Caenorhabditis elegans: one gene and its partner. The protein of the gene in region 1 interacts with the protein of each later gene in a biochemical or structural test. Each region holds a gene or a part of one and is shown on either strand. Other genes may lie near its edges.

Region 1 (8,721 bases):
AGGATTAGTAGTAATTGCAAAATACGTGTGAACTTGAAAAATCCACAATAGTTGTAGGTAATCATCAGAGATTAAACGGAACTTTGGTATTTCAAAAAAACAATGACCAACCCCTCTTTTCATCAAAAATCCTCATTTTTAATAGAGATTAGTTGTGGAGTCAGCTCAAAAATACAGTTTTTATTAATAATATGTTTTCATTCATTCGGTTTAGATTTTTTTTTTAATTAATCAACGAGAGAGATTACGTTGAGTTATCCAAATTCCCGCCAGTCCATCTGAAGGCACTTCTCCTGGGTTACTATAGTTTTCGCGGCGGGACTTAGAGTATGGAATTTTAAAATAAAGTCGAAAATGTATCACAGAGTGCGTGTATACTATTGAGCAGATTTTTGGGTCTCAAATATCTCAAATAATTTTAATTTTACATATATATGTAGGATATATCCTATTAAGTGAGAACTACTCGTAAAGGCATCTTGATTTTTTTTTGTTGAAAAAATACAGTTCCGTATTTTGAAATGTGATTCTGTTCTTTTTCGGCATATTTGAATGAGGCTGATTTATGTTAAAATAACTTATGAATCATTGTACTGTAATATCCTTTAAAAAAATAACTATTGACTTTTATTTCCTGATTTAGTGCAGAACTATTATTTTCTTTTTTTTAGGATTCAAAGTATCCAGGTATTTTTCATTCAAGATTAATTCATCCAAGTGTAATTTGGGTGATCTCAGCTTTTTCTGTTCAGTTAGAAGTCTAATGGGGTTATTTAAGTAATGTAGAAAAATGTATTTAAATACATTTGTGACGTCACAAATGTATTTAAATACATGTTTTTGTATACTTGGATACATTTGTGACGTAATTGTTCTACACTTTTTAATTTTCCGGCATTACTTGAATAACCACATAATAAAAAACATCCTCATCTCGATGAATAATTTTTTTGATAGACGTTCGCAGGTTCCTTGATATTTTTCTTCCTAATGTTCATTTATTTTGCTCGTCAAAATTTACATGAGCTCATTTTGAGAGAAAAAATGTTATGCCCATTTTTTTTTGCTATACTGCGAATATAATAGAAAATGAATGAAAGTTTTAACAGTTTGTTTGTTCATTTTAATGGTAGATGTTTCAAAAAAGCAATGCTCCAATTATAGGTGAAGTTGTTTTATTAATGTTTTATTGCTTTAAAAATGTAAAATAGTTCCAAAACTTTTGAAAAATGTTCACACATGTGTTAAATATGAGTGTAATTGAATAAAAATGTACGAATACGGCTGACCAAAATTGAATATTTTCGGCAAGTCATCTTTTTTTCAAAATTTCAAAGTGCCACAAGTTTTGAAAAAATTTAGGAAGTCGCATAAAATTTGGGTTATCCTGAGTCTTTTGAAGATTTTCATATAAAGCGTTATTTCAGTTTGAGCTATTTATAGCAAAAACTTTAAAAACTTGGAAACAATCATTCTCACTTCCCTGTATTTATTGACAGTCCTTTATTATCCAAAAAATGTAGACTAGTAAATATGTGTGAAATTTATGATGTATTATGATGATTCACTTTCAAAGAATGAAAACTTTCAAACTCCTCAAAGGTGTTGCAAAGATCTAGAAAATTCAAAAATCCGACGAGCCGTCCTCACCATAAGAAAATTCGGTTTGAGGACCTCTATTTTGAAAACAATACATTCTAGTATTGTCAAAAGCATACAGGTCAAAGCTTCTTTCTACCACTCCCACATGCTTCTCTTTCATCGGTTGAAGTTCAGTTTCATCGTCTCTTTTGTCTAAACGTCTTAATAATTTAAGAACCTACGTAGAGCCTCAAAGTCTTGACACTCCCAATTTTTGTCTCTTTCATTCATTCATAATATTTTCTTCCGGTTACAGCTTGGATGTTCAGTATTTGAAAATGACTTTTATTTTTTTGTTTTTCAGAGTTTTAGGCTATAATTCAAGATTATGGGCTTGCAAGGAAATTGACAAAGAGCAAAGATTCTCTAATTTGTAGCTTTTTTCCTACATCTTCAATCATAATTTTTCCGTTACCCTAACGTGTGAGCTCATCATTTAGTCAGCCTGGCAGAAGAAGCATGCTGAATAAGAAGTTAGGAAATAAAATATGCTTGTTTTGTGTTATGATATCATTTAGGATTCAATATAACATAGTTTGTCTACCGATTCCTATTTCAAATTGAATTTATTACTTTCTGATTCAATACAAAAATTCTGATTTGTTACAATTTCTTGTTTTATTGACCTGGATTTTCTGACGCATTGGAAATATAATTTGCGGTGGATATATTTAAAAATTCTAAAATTAAACTCTAAAAATATATGGGCATTATCTTTTTGAAATTTGCCCACTTTCTTTAAAAATATCATAGAGTTTGCAAACAAATTTTTAGACCCTTAAATATTAAAATAGGAAAATTGAATGTATGTGTATAAACAAAGACTACGTGCCAAGTTTCGTCGAAACAACTCAAAATAGCTCGTCGAAACAACTCAAAATAGCTTGCATGAATTGTTTCAAAATTTTAAATACTTTTGCTGTAGTCTGACTTTTTAAGTTTTTAAACTCGTGAAGGTAATGACTATTATGATTCATTCGATGACTTTTCAACCTGATTATTCCTTTCTAATTTTAGTTCGTTGATTTCTCTGAACTTTTGTGCACATTTATTTCCCAATTCCCTAATTGCTCTTGACGCATATCTTCTTTTTTAGTTCACTGACCAGTCACTCATTTTTCTTACGAAAAAATCTCATACTTTGTAAACCAATTGTTTTGTTGCCTTAAAGTATTTTATCTCTTCCTAGAATAATTTAGAGATACTTCCCGAGAAAAGCTATTCTGCTGATTAGCTTATTTGATCGTCTTTTTTTTGGGTCTGATGAATGGAACATCCGAACGTCTTTAACAAACTGAAGTCATTCGAAATTTGAGTGAATATATTTTAATATATGATCTACGTCACAAAAAGATGATAAATATCTTATTTTTTCATGATTACTTCAAGTTGAAAATATATTTATCATAGAAAATGAAAAATGAGTTTACGAAAAAATTTAAAAATTTAATGACATCTGTGAGGAATGTGGAATTTTAAAATAAAATATGCTGGAAAAGGATTATATTATTGGAAACGCTGGAGTTCCTAAAAATGAAAATTCTTGGAGAATGAGTGTCAAAAACAATAAGTCTACTTTGTTTCTGATCTTCGTTATCCGTTAGTCAGTTCCCATTTCCTTCTTGTTTCTTTTTGCCATTAGTAATTCGTGGACAAGAGCACCCCGCCTTCCTTCCTGCTTTCCTTTTCTTTTTTAAGAGCATCTCCATCAAATCCTAAAATCGCTACTCTGATCGTTGCATTTGATTAAAGAATTTTCTCACTTACCTCAATACAAACATTCGATAGATCTTGATTTCCTTTTTTTCTATCTTTGATTTTTAATTTCAAATCGGAACGTTTTCAATTTCAGAGAAACGAATTTGTGAGAATTTGAAGATTCACTACAGAGCTATCAAAATGACTTCGAATCGTGCCATTTTAAGGGTATGTTTTTATAGTTTATTGAATAATAATTTACATTATGAGGCATTTTATACACTTTTAAGTTTTTGTTGCTTGATTTTTGCAGCTGTTACCTTTTTCTCAAGAAATTGAAAAGTATTTTTAAACATTCAACAAAAATTGTGTTCAGTTCCTACTCTACAATTACGTTTGCCTTTTGCACCGCATAGCATTTTCCATACTCAGTTAGAAACCTACATTTTGTTGTAAATTTATATTTCAAAAATTCATTCTCATTACATGTGAAACGTTTATGATCTTTTTTAGTCATGTAAACACGAAAACTATTAATTTTTAATTTTTAGTTATAAAAACCTTGTGTTTGTGACACAAAATCCCAAATTAAGGAACATGCGGGTAGTAAAAGGTGCGAATGCCCGGGAATTTTTTCCGTTGTCACGCTCCTTGTGCTGACTAGATAAAAAAGGCAAACCATACTTTTTCTCGCGGTGAGACCCATTTGAACATACCCATGCGCATTCAAGGCGACGTTTCAGAAAACTGTGAAATAGCCATAATAGTGCTGACAAACCGTCAGAGTTTCCTTTTTCAAATTGATCTCCAGAAATGGCGCTAAGCTTCCATGTTGATTTTATCCATCTGCATTGTACAGAAAAGCGTGTGACGTAACAATCTTTGATGAAGATTAAAATGTGAGGGGAAACTGACTCAGAGGTCAGAGTTTAAAATGGTCTGCAATCAACTATTCTACGATTCTACATTCTCAGCAAATTCCGTCCGCAGACTACACATGAAGTCTGTGGATTTGGCCCAGACTATTAAATACGTTTTTACATTGTAGAATTATCCCCAATATACCTTTTGATTTGATTTTGATCTTTTGTGCTTTGAACTCATCTCTACCATTATTTGCACACAATCCTTCCTTTTTCTAGACCCTTCTTTTTCTCAATTCATGAAATTTGAGTCCTGACATCCTATTCTTGCACCAGGAAGAAGCCTTTCTTTATTTTGTTTCCAAAAGTTGGCAGCAGGAAGGTGAAAGCTCAAAATGAAGAAAGGATTAACCTCTTCAAATGTCCAAGTGTATCTTAGTGGTAGATCACAAATCCAATACTACCGAAGGTTGTCCTTGGTTTCCTTCCGGATCACGTGTGCATTGACATTCACCATTTTTTGAGGAGAGAATACGGAAGGAAAATGACTTCCTAGCAGAAAATTTGCTCGTTTATTTTTTTTGCCACCGAATTGAAGGAATGTTCTCCTAAAATAGAAGGGAGGGAAAAAGTGGTAACGAGATGAGCAACTGTTAAGCAAAGCGAACAAATTGGAAAGATTATGGACCACAGTGATCATTTTCATGGTCTTTATTCTTTTTGTTGTGTCGGAAGTAAACTATGAAAAGTTCAGTTCAGTCCGAAAAGGTCAGTGGTAAATTTTGGATTTCAAAGTTTTCTACCACATTCTTAAATCAATTTTGGAATGTTTAATAATAGTTCAAAATCAAGACAATTGATATAGTCACTTTTCAAAAAATCAAAGAACTTCGGAACCAATAAGTCTTCTAATGATCGAAAAAGCTTTTTGGTCGTTATAGGTCATTCTTTTTTCTTGTTTTAATTAATTCAACGAATTCAACGAACACCAGAAAACGTTATAGGAAAAAAGAAAACAAAATATAGAATAAATTATGTAAGTAGTTTTTAAGTGAAGTTCTCTTTTAGTAATTCATTTAATTTTTTTTTATTTTAAATAATATTTAATTAATTAAAATTTCCTAATTCTTGAAAAAACGACACATTATTTTCATACAGAACATGTGTTTTTTTTGAACTTTCATCGAAGCTATAAGTCACAAAATATTAATAAAATTAACTCGAGAAGTCTGGTCACCCACTTCAAAATGCCATGGAATCGAAAAGTTTCTCGCTGAAAACTCCGTGAAAAACCTATTTTTATTTTGAATTAGACACTCGACACTTTCCATTTAAATGTTTTTCTAACCTGTCTTAGAGTTGCAGGTGAATATAATATGTTTCTAGTTTTCAATTTTTCATTTCCTTACACGTACACTCACTACCAAAAATTTCACCTGTATCGACGACATGGTGTTGTGTCGCGCGCATTTGTTCCAGATTGCATTGATTCGATTTCCTTTTTTTTGACCGCGTAAATTTAGTTTGAATATTTCTCAAATCTTCAACTGTACTTTTCTCACTTCATTCATTCGTACATGTTTGTATCATTGTGACGTGACAAACGACAAGCAATTAGGTACAACTTTCTCGTTTTTCCTCTTTTTTTTCGTACCAAATCTCATAGATCAAATGAGCATGAAGGCATTTTTTAAAAAGAATATGAGCGTAATTAAGGGATACATCACAACAAGTCGTTTTGAGAAATTGATCAGGAAATTGTGGTGGAAAATGTATTAGGCTCATACCAAAACTCAAAGATTTCCATAAGGTAAAATTTTTTTGTCGAAATGTATAGATGTTGAGGGATGTGCAAAAATAGATTAAAAATCGTCACGAATTTTAATCTCATCTAAATCTTCTGATCCCATGCGTATCAGACATCCATTATTCAGCGGGGGAGCTGATCTTACGAGCATTTAATAAAGACAAAAAAGTTTGAAGTTTGAAGATTATAATGTTTTACTCCAAAATTAGAATAGCTTGGACGCATATACCTTCTTTCTCTCTTTTTTAAAATTTTAATCTCTCCCTACTATAAGCTTAAGAGCTTAGAGGCGCATTCTAGTAAAATGATTTACTGTAGAATATTGAAAGCTTACGAGCCTATCCCAAATTTTCTAATGTTTCTTCCAACTTTCTGAAGTTAATGTGAGATTTGTTCACCTCATAATACATTTTTAACGTTAAAAAACGCGTTGAATGAGCTATAAAAAGACTTAAAAGTTGAGATCTGCACGTAAACTTTCTACAGTAATCTAATATGGTGCATTAGCAATTTCTTAATAAACAAATGAATTATAATTATAAAAATAAACAAGTTTCCTGTGAAACTGGCCCCAAGGGGTAAAAAATACTTCCGTTTCTAAAATTACTGTTTTCTAGTACATCAACTATCACTTAAAAGCAAAACCTAGGTCCTGGCCGGGTTCGAACCGGCGATCTTCTGCGTGTAAAGCAGACGTGATAACCACTACACCACAGGACCGCGTGTCCTGAACATTGCCGGGTAGTGGTTTCCATCGGAAACAGAGAAAAACGGAAAATGTTTATTTTGCAAGTGCCAGTCTAGTGGAAACATAACTTCAGTGTACTCTTATGTTTATAGAATACTTGTAAAAGTCTTCCCCTTTTTTTCAATTTCTTTTTCAATTAAAAAAAAAGTCTTCCAAAAGCTTCCGCTAAAAGATCCCATCGCTTTCAAATCTGTGAAATCTTGCTCATAACAGCATCCCATTTATTCAAAGAGACCGAAAAAAACCAGCAAAACTAATTACGCCGCATTTACATTCAAAGGATCTTATGTGGATTCTTGTGTTCATTTTTTCCGGGACTTGTGTGTTCACATACATCTATTTCTTTTCTTTAAACAAAACCAAGAAAACCAAGTGCTGATTAATTCACTGTGTTATGAAGCATTATTTTAATATGTTTCCGTATCTCTTTTTCCAAGAACTTCTTCGCATTTTCAATTTTTCTAGTTCAATATGTGTGTCCTGATTTCAAGAAGATTTTAACTCCTCAACCATAAATTGGAATAGGTGACATGGGATTCAAGATTTCAAATATATATTGTTTTATGAATTCTGGGAACATTGCAGCAAAAACAAAAAATTGTATAAGGAGACATAGTTATAGGAAAAAGTTTAATTTCCAAGTAGATGTGCGATATGTGGGAGTTTACGAAAATACTAATATCTATTTAGCTTACAATTTATTCCAAAGAGATGCACTCCGAATAGTGTTCGCTTCTTAACGATATGTGATTTTTCATATTTCTGTATAGACATTCAACGGGTGGAGCAATTTATGACATCCATCTTCCCATTCCCTCGCCCGTCAGCATTCGCGCCCATCAAACGCCTTAATAAAAAACTCGAACAACAACGGAAAAAAGAAAGCGTTCCAAAATTGCATCAAACAAAAAAATATGCAAAAGGATTTTTGCAGATATTGGGGAATGTTAGAAAGTAGAATGTTAAAGACGTTTGATAAAGTTTCAAAATGGACTGCAAGTATTAATTTAAAACTTTCTTAATTTTCTCGAATTTTAGCGAATTTAAAATTTACTAATTAACAGCTTTAGAAGCCCACTCGCAAATAAGAAGTTATTCCATTAGATTTAAAGTATCGACTCAAATTCATAAATTCTGATCCCTTTTCCTGAAGATATCCGACACATGTTCCTATGAGTATTCTGTTTTTGTGTATTCCTCAAGAAGGCCCTCAAAAATTCTGAAATTCTGACAATTTATAATCTACTTTTGGTCGTATCGCCCCGCTTTCGTTTTACGACAAGTTGTAAAGCATTTTATTTTAAATTGAGACGCGTTTTTATTGTTCGTTTAGTTTTGAACTTCTGCAATTTACATTTTCAATAACTTCAGTTGAACAAAATACAGACGTTTCAGTTTGTAACTTGCAAAAAAACATAGAATCACTTTTATCTTTTTTCTATATTTGAGGTCTAAAATACGGAGACTGAAAACCGCGATCTATAAAAAGATGAGGCAAAGAAAATGTGGAATTTTAAATCAACCAAGACGCCTTGGAGGTCCATCTCTTCAAATTTCTTAGTCATTGTCTATGGATATTCATTTGACATTAATTTTTTTGGAATTATTTTTTTTTCATTTCCTCACAAGAAGAGTCTCAAAATGCACGAATTCTGGAAGAATTCACTGAAAAATGATTTTTGAATTTAAGAGATTTTGAGAGATTGGAGCTTCTGAAGTTGAGAATTTTTGGTAATTTTTCTAAACTGTACGACAAAATAAAAGATTTAAAGTTCTCATTATCTAAATATCATCATCACGTTGTGCGGTACTCGACATTTATCAAAAAAAAAACTTTAAAAATAAAAAGTTTTTCGAGTGCTAAATTTTGATTTTTGGCAATTATAGATTAATAGAAGTGCATTTAGATCAAATCCCCATTGACGATAATCCATATTTAATTATTAGAATGTCCTGTTATAATC
Region 2 (6,894 bases), on another chromosome or scaffold:
AACAGTTTGCTTGGTAAAATTCACAGCTATGCGATTTCAAAAAGGTAGGTTTTCTTCCGTAAAAATTTCCGTCAGTAAATCACTATAAGTTCTCTAAAATTAGAAAAAAATCACTTTGAAATTTCTAAAAGAGAATATTGGAATTTATTTTCTTATCATGTTTAACATAAATTCAATCCAGAAGATAAATTAGACATTTCCGCGCGGTTACGTTTGATTAAATGATTTTCCGTTTTTCGCTTTCTAATTTCTTCACTTAGTACTTTGCCATTTTTCAACAATTCTTAAGCAAGTCAATAGACAGATTTAGTTTGGTCAGAATTTTGTCTGTGTGTTCATTGCGGAAAAAATCACTAATTTTCATTAAAAATAAGAAAAAAAATCTTCTATCTTGTGGCATCCGGAAAGTTTGAAAAGAAAAAAATAAAAGAACAAGTTGTTTCGTAGAAAAAATATTCGGGATAGATTTTATCAATTCTCTGTATTTGAAGTAGATGTTTGATGCTATTTGTTAAAGGCGTTCTTGTAAATTTTGAAATAGTTAAGAAAAATATATGTTTAAAGTTTTAAAGATATGCTTTAAATTTTCAAATTGGCAAAAGTTGCGCTAAACTCGAAAAGTGATTCAACTAAAATTCAAAGCTGTTTATAAATAAAATTCATTTTTAAATTATTGATTTCAATATACATAAACTCTTTGCTTTTTGACACATTAGGAAAGTTTACGTAACACATTTACGAATTTGAATTTCTTTATCGTTAAAGCCAAACTATTAAGTTACAAACAAATTGTAAGATTTTTAATGGTCCTACATTAATAAGGAAATTTCGTACAAATCACTTTTTTCCAAACTTAAACATTTCTATATTTCTCGTAAAATTTAACAAAAAGAATCGAAAAGTTTAGATCAATCGTAAAACTCGCAAAACATAAAGCAGTAACGAAAAAATAGTTGTCCTCCTCCTCCTCCTCCTCCTCCGAGAGAAAAATCGTGTGCAGAAGCAATAGCGTGGCCAGATTACGTGGTGACGGTAGCGGCGGGCAGTAGAAACTAGCTGTCAATAGGACGGTAATTGTCTGCCATCATCATCGACTAAAGTGCGACTAATGGCAATAGCCCATACCTCCACCACAGCTGGTCAACATCTCGTTTATCCTGTGTTGCGAACATTTCCGAAATTCTTCGAAGCGTCTTGAGAATTTTTACAACAATATAAAAGAAAAGTATTTCAGGGATAATCTTCCGTCCTCAAGTGTTTGTTTTCCTAATTGTTTACCAGATTCCGCTTGACTAATTTTTAGTGAACTGAAAATTAATTTGCACTGACCAAGTATTTCTGCTTAAAGTATACACCTTGAATTTAAATTTTGCCGTTGACTATATCGCCCAATTTTTTTTTATTATGGCAAGCCATTCTTCACCGAATTATTGAGTCATCGGACTAGTTTCGGAGGTGACGAGGCATGAGAATAAGAAAGTTTCGGCTTTCTTTTTTATCCGTGGAAAGTGAGATCCAGAAGAAAAGTGGCGGAATTTCAATAACTTTGAGATGACGCATTATTACGACAACGAAGCAGGGGTTTTTTAATTAGAAAATCTGAGATGAACTTACTTTGCAGATAGTAAAAATAAAGTTTTAAGGTATAAAAAAGGATTAAAGGATTAAAAGACGATCCCTTCTTCAAGTGCGATGCACTGCGGATCTAGGAGCCAGGTACACTGCCTGATGGTGCTCCTACTGGGCTATAATTTAAGCCACGTCCTAGCCGGAGACTGTGGCGGAAAATCCAGTTATGGATTGCTCACCTTGCCAATGGAGGCTGGGTGAACCTAGGGAGTGAGGCCGGACTTGAACTCGTGACCTCCAGATTGCTAGCGACCACCACTACCGACTGAGCTATCAAGAACTTAGTAGAAAACGGTAAGCAGTTTTGAAGCATTGAGAATTTCAGTTTAGTGGGAACTGAAAGTATAGTTATGTGTTTTAATTTAGAGAAAATTCTTGAACTATCAATCGTGAAACTCGGCTGAAGCCCACTCCTATTTTTGAATGTACTGCAATAGAACCATCTTGATTCTAATTTTCAAAAAATCTTCTATCAAAAACTATGACGCCAAAATTATCTTGTTTAGACTTCTTGAAATCGCTTGGCCCCATCATTTGTCAAGCAAAAAAAAATCACAAGTGTCCCACGTTCTCGTAGCCTAGCGAAACATGAAATATGTTGTCTCATTTCAACAAAAAATTTACTTTTCTTCTTCTCACTGACTATACAACATGTTTGGGCCGAGAAAATTGTATCCAAATTGTGAAATATTTCAATGACACAGGATTTCGGATAGAAAGATATACACAGTTTTTCCTCGAAAACCGGTCTTACGTCTGTTTGATGCGCGCGCCCGCAGGGGGATCATGCGTACTTGTAAGCAAATTTGAATACGATGAGTGGTCATACAAAGAAAAAAAACGGATTTGGTCATTCGGCTGGGACATATTATGCAATTCATACATCAAGCCTGTGAATATCCAAGTCTTGTGAAAATTGAGATAAGATGGAAAAAAAAAGAAAAAAAAACCAGAAAAACAATGAAAGTTTATTCTAACTGACGTTTTGCAGAGATAAAAGAAAAAAAATTAGCATGGAGAATAAGAAATCTAACAAAACATTATCAGTATAGAACACAATTTGGCCCAAATCATCAAGAAGCACACATCCATCTCTGAACGCGAATCACCCGAATCGAATGAATTCGTTCTTTCGTTTCTCCACTGCAAAACCACTTACAGATAAAATACATCAGAGGTGTAACCGAAAAACTCACTGGAAACGTCGTTGTCGTCGAGTCCAAGTCCCTTATCGGATCTTCCGAATCGGATGAACTCATTTTTTCTCTTTCCAAACCGGATGAACTCGTTCTTTCGTTTTTCCATTCTGAGAAAGAAATGATATTTGAAATGACCGACAAATACCAAATATGTACTAACCCGTCACTGCGTTTTCCAAATCGGATAAACTCGTTTTTACGCTTGTTCATCACCGGAACTTCTTGATCGTACAGTGTGACATCTGTCTGCTGCATCACCTCCTGCAAGGCTCTTTGGACGACTTGCATCTCCGCCTGCAAAACATTTTAGATTTTACAGGAATAAAAAACCACTTTGGAAACTAAAAAAAATGATCAACATACCTCAAGATGGCAAATCCGGAGTCCGAGTTCCTTCTCATTCTCGGTGGTCAGTGCGGACACATCACAGCTAGCGTTGGCCGATATGGCGAGTACAAAAATAGAAAAAAGGACTCCGGAGAGCATTTTCTACTTGAAAAGTGTGGACTGAGCACTGCTCGTGGCTTATATACTGGTCCGTCTTCTCCACTAACTTGGGCTCCGCGCACTTTGCTCCGCCTTTTCAGAGGCCACGCCTTCTTGTGCTGAAGAAATTCTAGAGTGTCCACTGGAAGGCGTTTGGTAAAAGAACGCGGGGGCATAGAAAACTTGAAATGGTAAATTGCATAAAACAAGTAAGAAACAGTAAAGTGCTTGTTCTGAGATTTATCTGAAATTGATTCATCGAAAAATTAAATTTACTCCGGTTTTAAAAGTCGTAAGACAATAAACGTGTCTTTGAGAGCAAGTTGATTCAAATTTTAAAAATTTGCTGAAAATCAAGTTTCGAAAACCAACGATATAAAAAAATTTTTTTTTAAAGTTATTAAAAATTATCTCATTTGAAAATTTATTGTATAAACCAGGTTATCTCAACTATCAGGTTAAAAACCGCTTTTTAGGTAAGAAACGTTATCTACGAAAAAACAAATTTTTCCAGATCAAACTTTAGAGTCATACAGTACCACCAAGAAAAATTTTAACATTTTGACATTGTTGTAGCAATTCGTTTGATTTGAAAATGGAAATTTCTCGAAGCTACCCTCGTTTTGAAAAATGAAAACAATGCATATTTATATTTTTGTGTCCTTATTTTGTTTTTTAAATTTTTTTAAAGAGGCCCACTTTACGTTTTTGTGTGTTTTCTTCTTCCTCGTCTATCTATCAGCTGTATAACCGAGCAGTCGAGGGACTGAACACAGTGAATACACGGAATTCATGCTGGGAGGTAACTAACAGATAAATTTAGCCACCGACACCCTCCGAAACTAATTATACCAACTCTATGCATTTGTAAATTGTTGACGTAACACTTGGACTTCTCCTTCATCTAATTCTTCAACTTTTTTCCACCTCTTCTCGGGGGGGGGGGGGGGGGGTACTTTGAAACCAAAAACTTATCCACCGCGCAAATTATTCATCACGAATCAGTTGCTTCCTCGATGATTCGCCTCGCAAAATGATTTCACGGCAATCTCTTCATAAATCTTGCCCTCCAATCATTGAATATTCATTCGAGCAACATGAAACTACGGTGAAGATTGCGTGTATTCAAAGTAAAGGTGCCCACATACTTTTTGAAGAGATCGTCCATGACGAAAATGAATTCATTTAAAGTAGAGTAAAACAAGACTTTTCAAAGAGAACAAAATATCAAGGAGTTCTTATGTCAAAATGGGATGGTCAAAAATGGAAGTCTAATCATTAAATAGTGAATGTCTTGAAAGTCAGTCATCTTATCCTGCATTATAATTATGTGCATAATAAGTGAATTTGCTAGTTTATCACTCCGCCATTGTTTAACAGTAGTCAGTCAGCTTTTTGATTATTTTCCAAAAGTATTCATTCATATTTACAGTGAATATTTTGAAAAATGTATTGTCCTTTAACTATAATTAATGTTGAAAAAATGTAAACCATTCTGTAAAAAGTTGATAATAATTATTAACTGCTCTGAACTTCTCGGAAAGTTATATATTTTCGTCGCCTCGCTATTTTACTAAAACCTTGACTGAAAATTAAGAAAAACTGGAAAGTTTTTGTACGGTTTTATTTTGATATGCGGCCAGCTTGAAACAATATTTACGTGTTTAAACAAAATGTATTTATCTTTAAATATAAATACAGTATTTCTTTTTTACTTGCACCACCTATTGAAAATCAACCCTGTATATTGAATTGAAAAGCTTCCAAATTATTTGATAATTTGACATTTGATAATCACTTTCCGCTTTGTTATATGTAATCTCAAAATTTTTCTTCCGCTATCAAAAATATGCTCGTTTTACTTTTTCTCTATTTTATCACAACATAAAAACCGATGAACGATACTGTTGTGACCGCAAATGTGAGAAGAGGAATCCAAAACACATACACACAAAAATAGTGACGAACGTAATTTCCAATGCATGGTCTTAAGACGGAACACACATAGTTTTTGGCTTGAAAATGTCAAAGAACTGTTTTTTTTCCTGGAAAATGGAAAACAATAAAATTATGGGAATTGTTTCGGAGTGGTTTCCGGCCCATGAGGTACTGATAGGAACTAACAAAAGACTCTTATTTAATTAACTCATTTATTACGAGTGATTCAAGGGGAAAACCTTGAATCACTAACACTCAACATTCATTTAAACGTGCCACCGTCGGGCACGTGCTGCGGTGGTGAAGACCGATGAAGACTGACGATATAGGCCAATGTGCGCTGCGCCATGATGACAAGAGTACGGTCGCAGTCGTTGTTGTATGTGTCGTGGCGAGACCTCATGCGCCTTGAATCGTCCTTTTGGCGGTAGTTTGAATCGGGGTTTCTGACGCCGTCCTTCTGCATGGTTGTTGCCGTTGATTGAAGAGATGATGTTGAGTGTTGAAGAGCAAGTGTTACGTAATAACAATGAATCAATCTTTACATTTAATCATTTGTTAATAAATCCTTAGATTTATTAATAAGTCGTGAGCGAGTGAATCTTTGTATTCACCGACTTCGTGACAGGAATATTCAAAATAGCGAGCTGAAGTTCAAGGGTACTGTTCGAGGAGTAAAAAAAAATTTGGAAATTAAAAACACTTTGGCTATTCTGTGTTCCTTTAAATTTTAATAAACATTTCCAACAACGTAAAAACATTTATTTGGTATGCAATCAAAATACTTCGGCAAAAGTTCTATATAAAACCGATGGAAAATGAAAAGAATAGAGATCTAAGTTTGATTTGATTCCGATATGTAGGTTTAATGAACAACTCATCATAATAATAACACAGCTGCAGAAAACATAATTATTAGTATTAGATTTAAATTGACGTCATTGTTGCATAAATTACCATCGCATGTGCAAACTTCAAGGTTTCCTGAAAGTTATATATATATTTTTTTTTTATTATATGGAACAATTTGAATATTACATACCTTCTCCACTAGTAATTTTTGTACAGTCTGATCGGATTTGTTCTTTTGCATTTGGTATGCAACTTCTCCAAACATGATTGATTCCTAAAATAAGTAAAAAGAAAATAAAATAAACAATTAATTTTGATCTATCTCACCGCTTTTTTCCTGGAAAATCATTTTCATGCAGACTCCATTTGAGCACTCATTGCTGCGAACTCCATCACGAAGAGCTTGATCAACCTGGAAAACTGCTCATTTTAGAGAAATATTAGCCGAGTTAGCCGGTCGGCTGAAATTCGGCTAATGCGGCTAACTTTATCAATTTCAGATTTTTTTGTTCATTCAGCAAGATTTTCACTAATTTTGTGGGTTATCAAGTAAGTAAAAACAATTCACTTGATAACAGAAACAAAAAAACGTACTGAAAGCAATTAAACAATAAAACTAGCCTACCCTAGACAGTCCTGCCCAGAGCCTAGACAACCCTACCCCAGACCCTAGCCTACCCTAGAAGGCACTACCCCAGCCGACCCTAGACAGCCCTATCCCATAGCCTAGACAGCCCTACCCCAGACCCTAGCCTACCCTAGACAGCCCTTACCCAGACCCCAGCCTACT

Evidence for each region.
Region 2: the proteins of frpr-15 (region 1) and flp-8 interact in a test that uses a peptide from one of them, tested with the Caenorhabditis elegans proteins (one large-scale study listed by BioGRID).

The regions. Positions count from the first base shown.
Region 1 is NC_003283.11:12,676,695-12,685,415, forward strand, and holds the start of frpr-15 (G-protein coupled receptors family 1 profile domain-containing protein), read left to right. Parts: upstream 1-3,412; 5' UTR 3,413-3,540; coding exon 3,541-3,567; intron 3,568-6,648; exon of another isoform or gene 6,649-6,730; intron 6,731-8,721.
Region 2 is NC_003284.9:14,877,958-14,884,851, reverse strand, and holds flp-8 (FMRF-Like Peptide), read right to left. Parts: upstream 3,434-6,894; 5' UTR 3,315-3,433; coding exon 3,192-3,314; intron 3,123-3,191; coding exon 2,989-3,122; intron 2,936-2,988; coding exon 2,785-2,935; downstream 1-2,784. Other genes in the region: sssh-1 (UPAR/Ly6 domain-containing protein qvr), read right to left, coding at 6,133-6,236, 6,295-6,378, 6,432-6,516.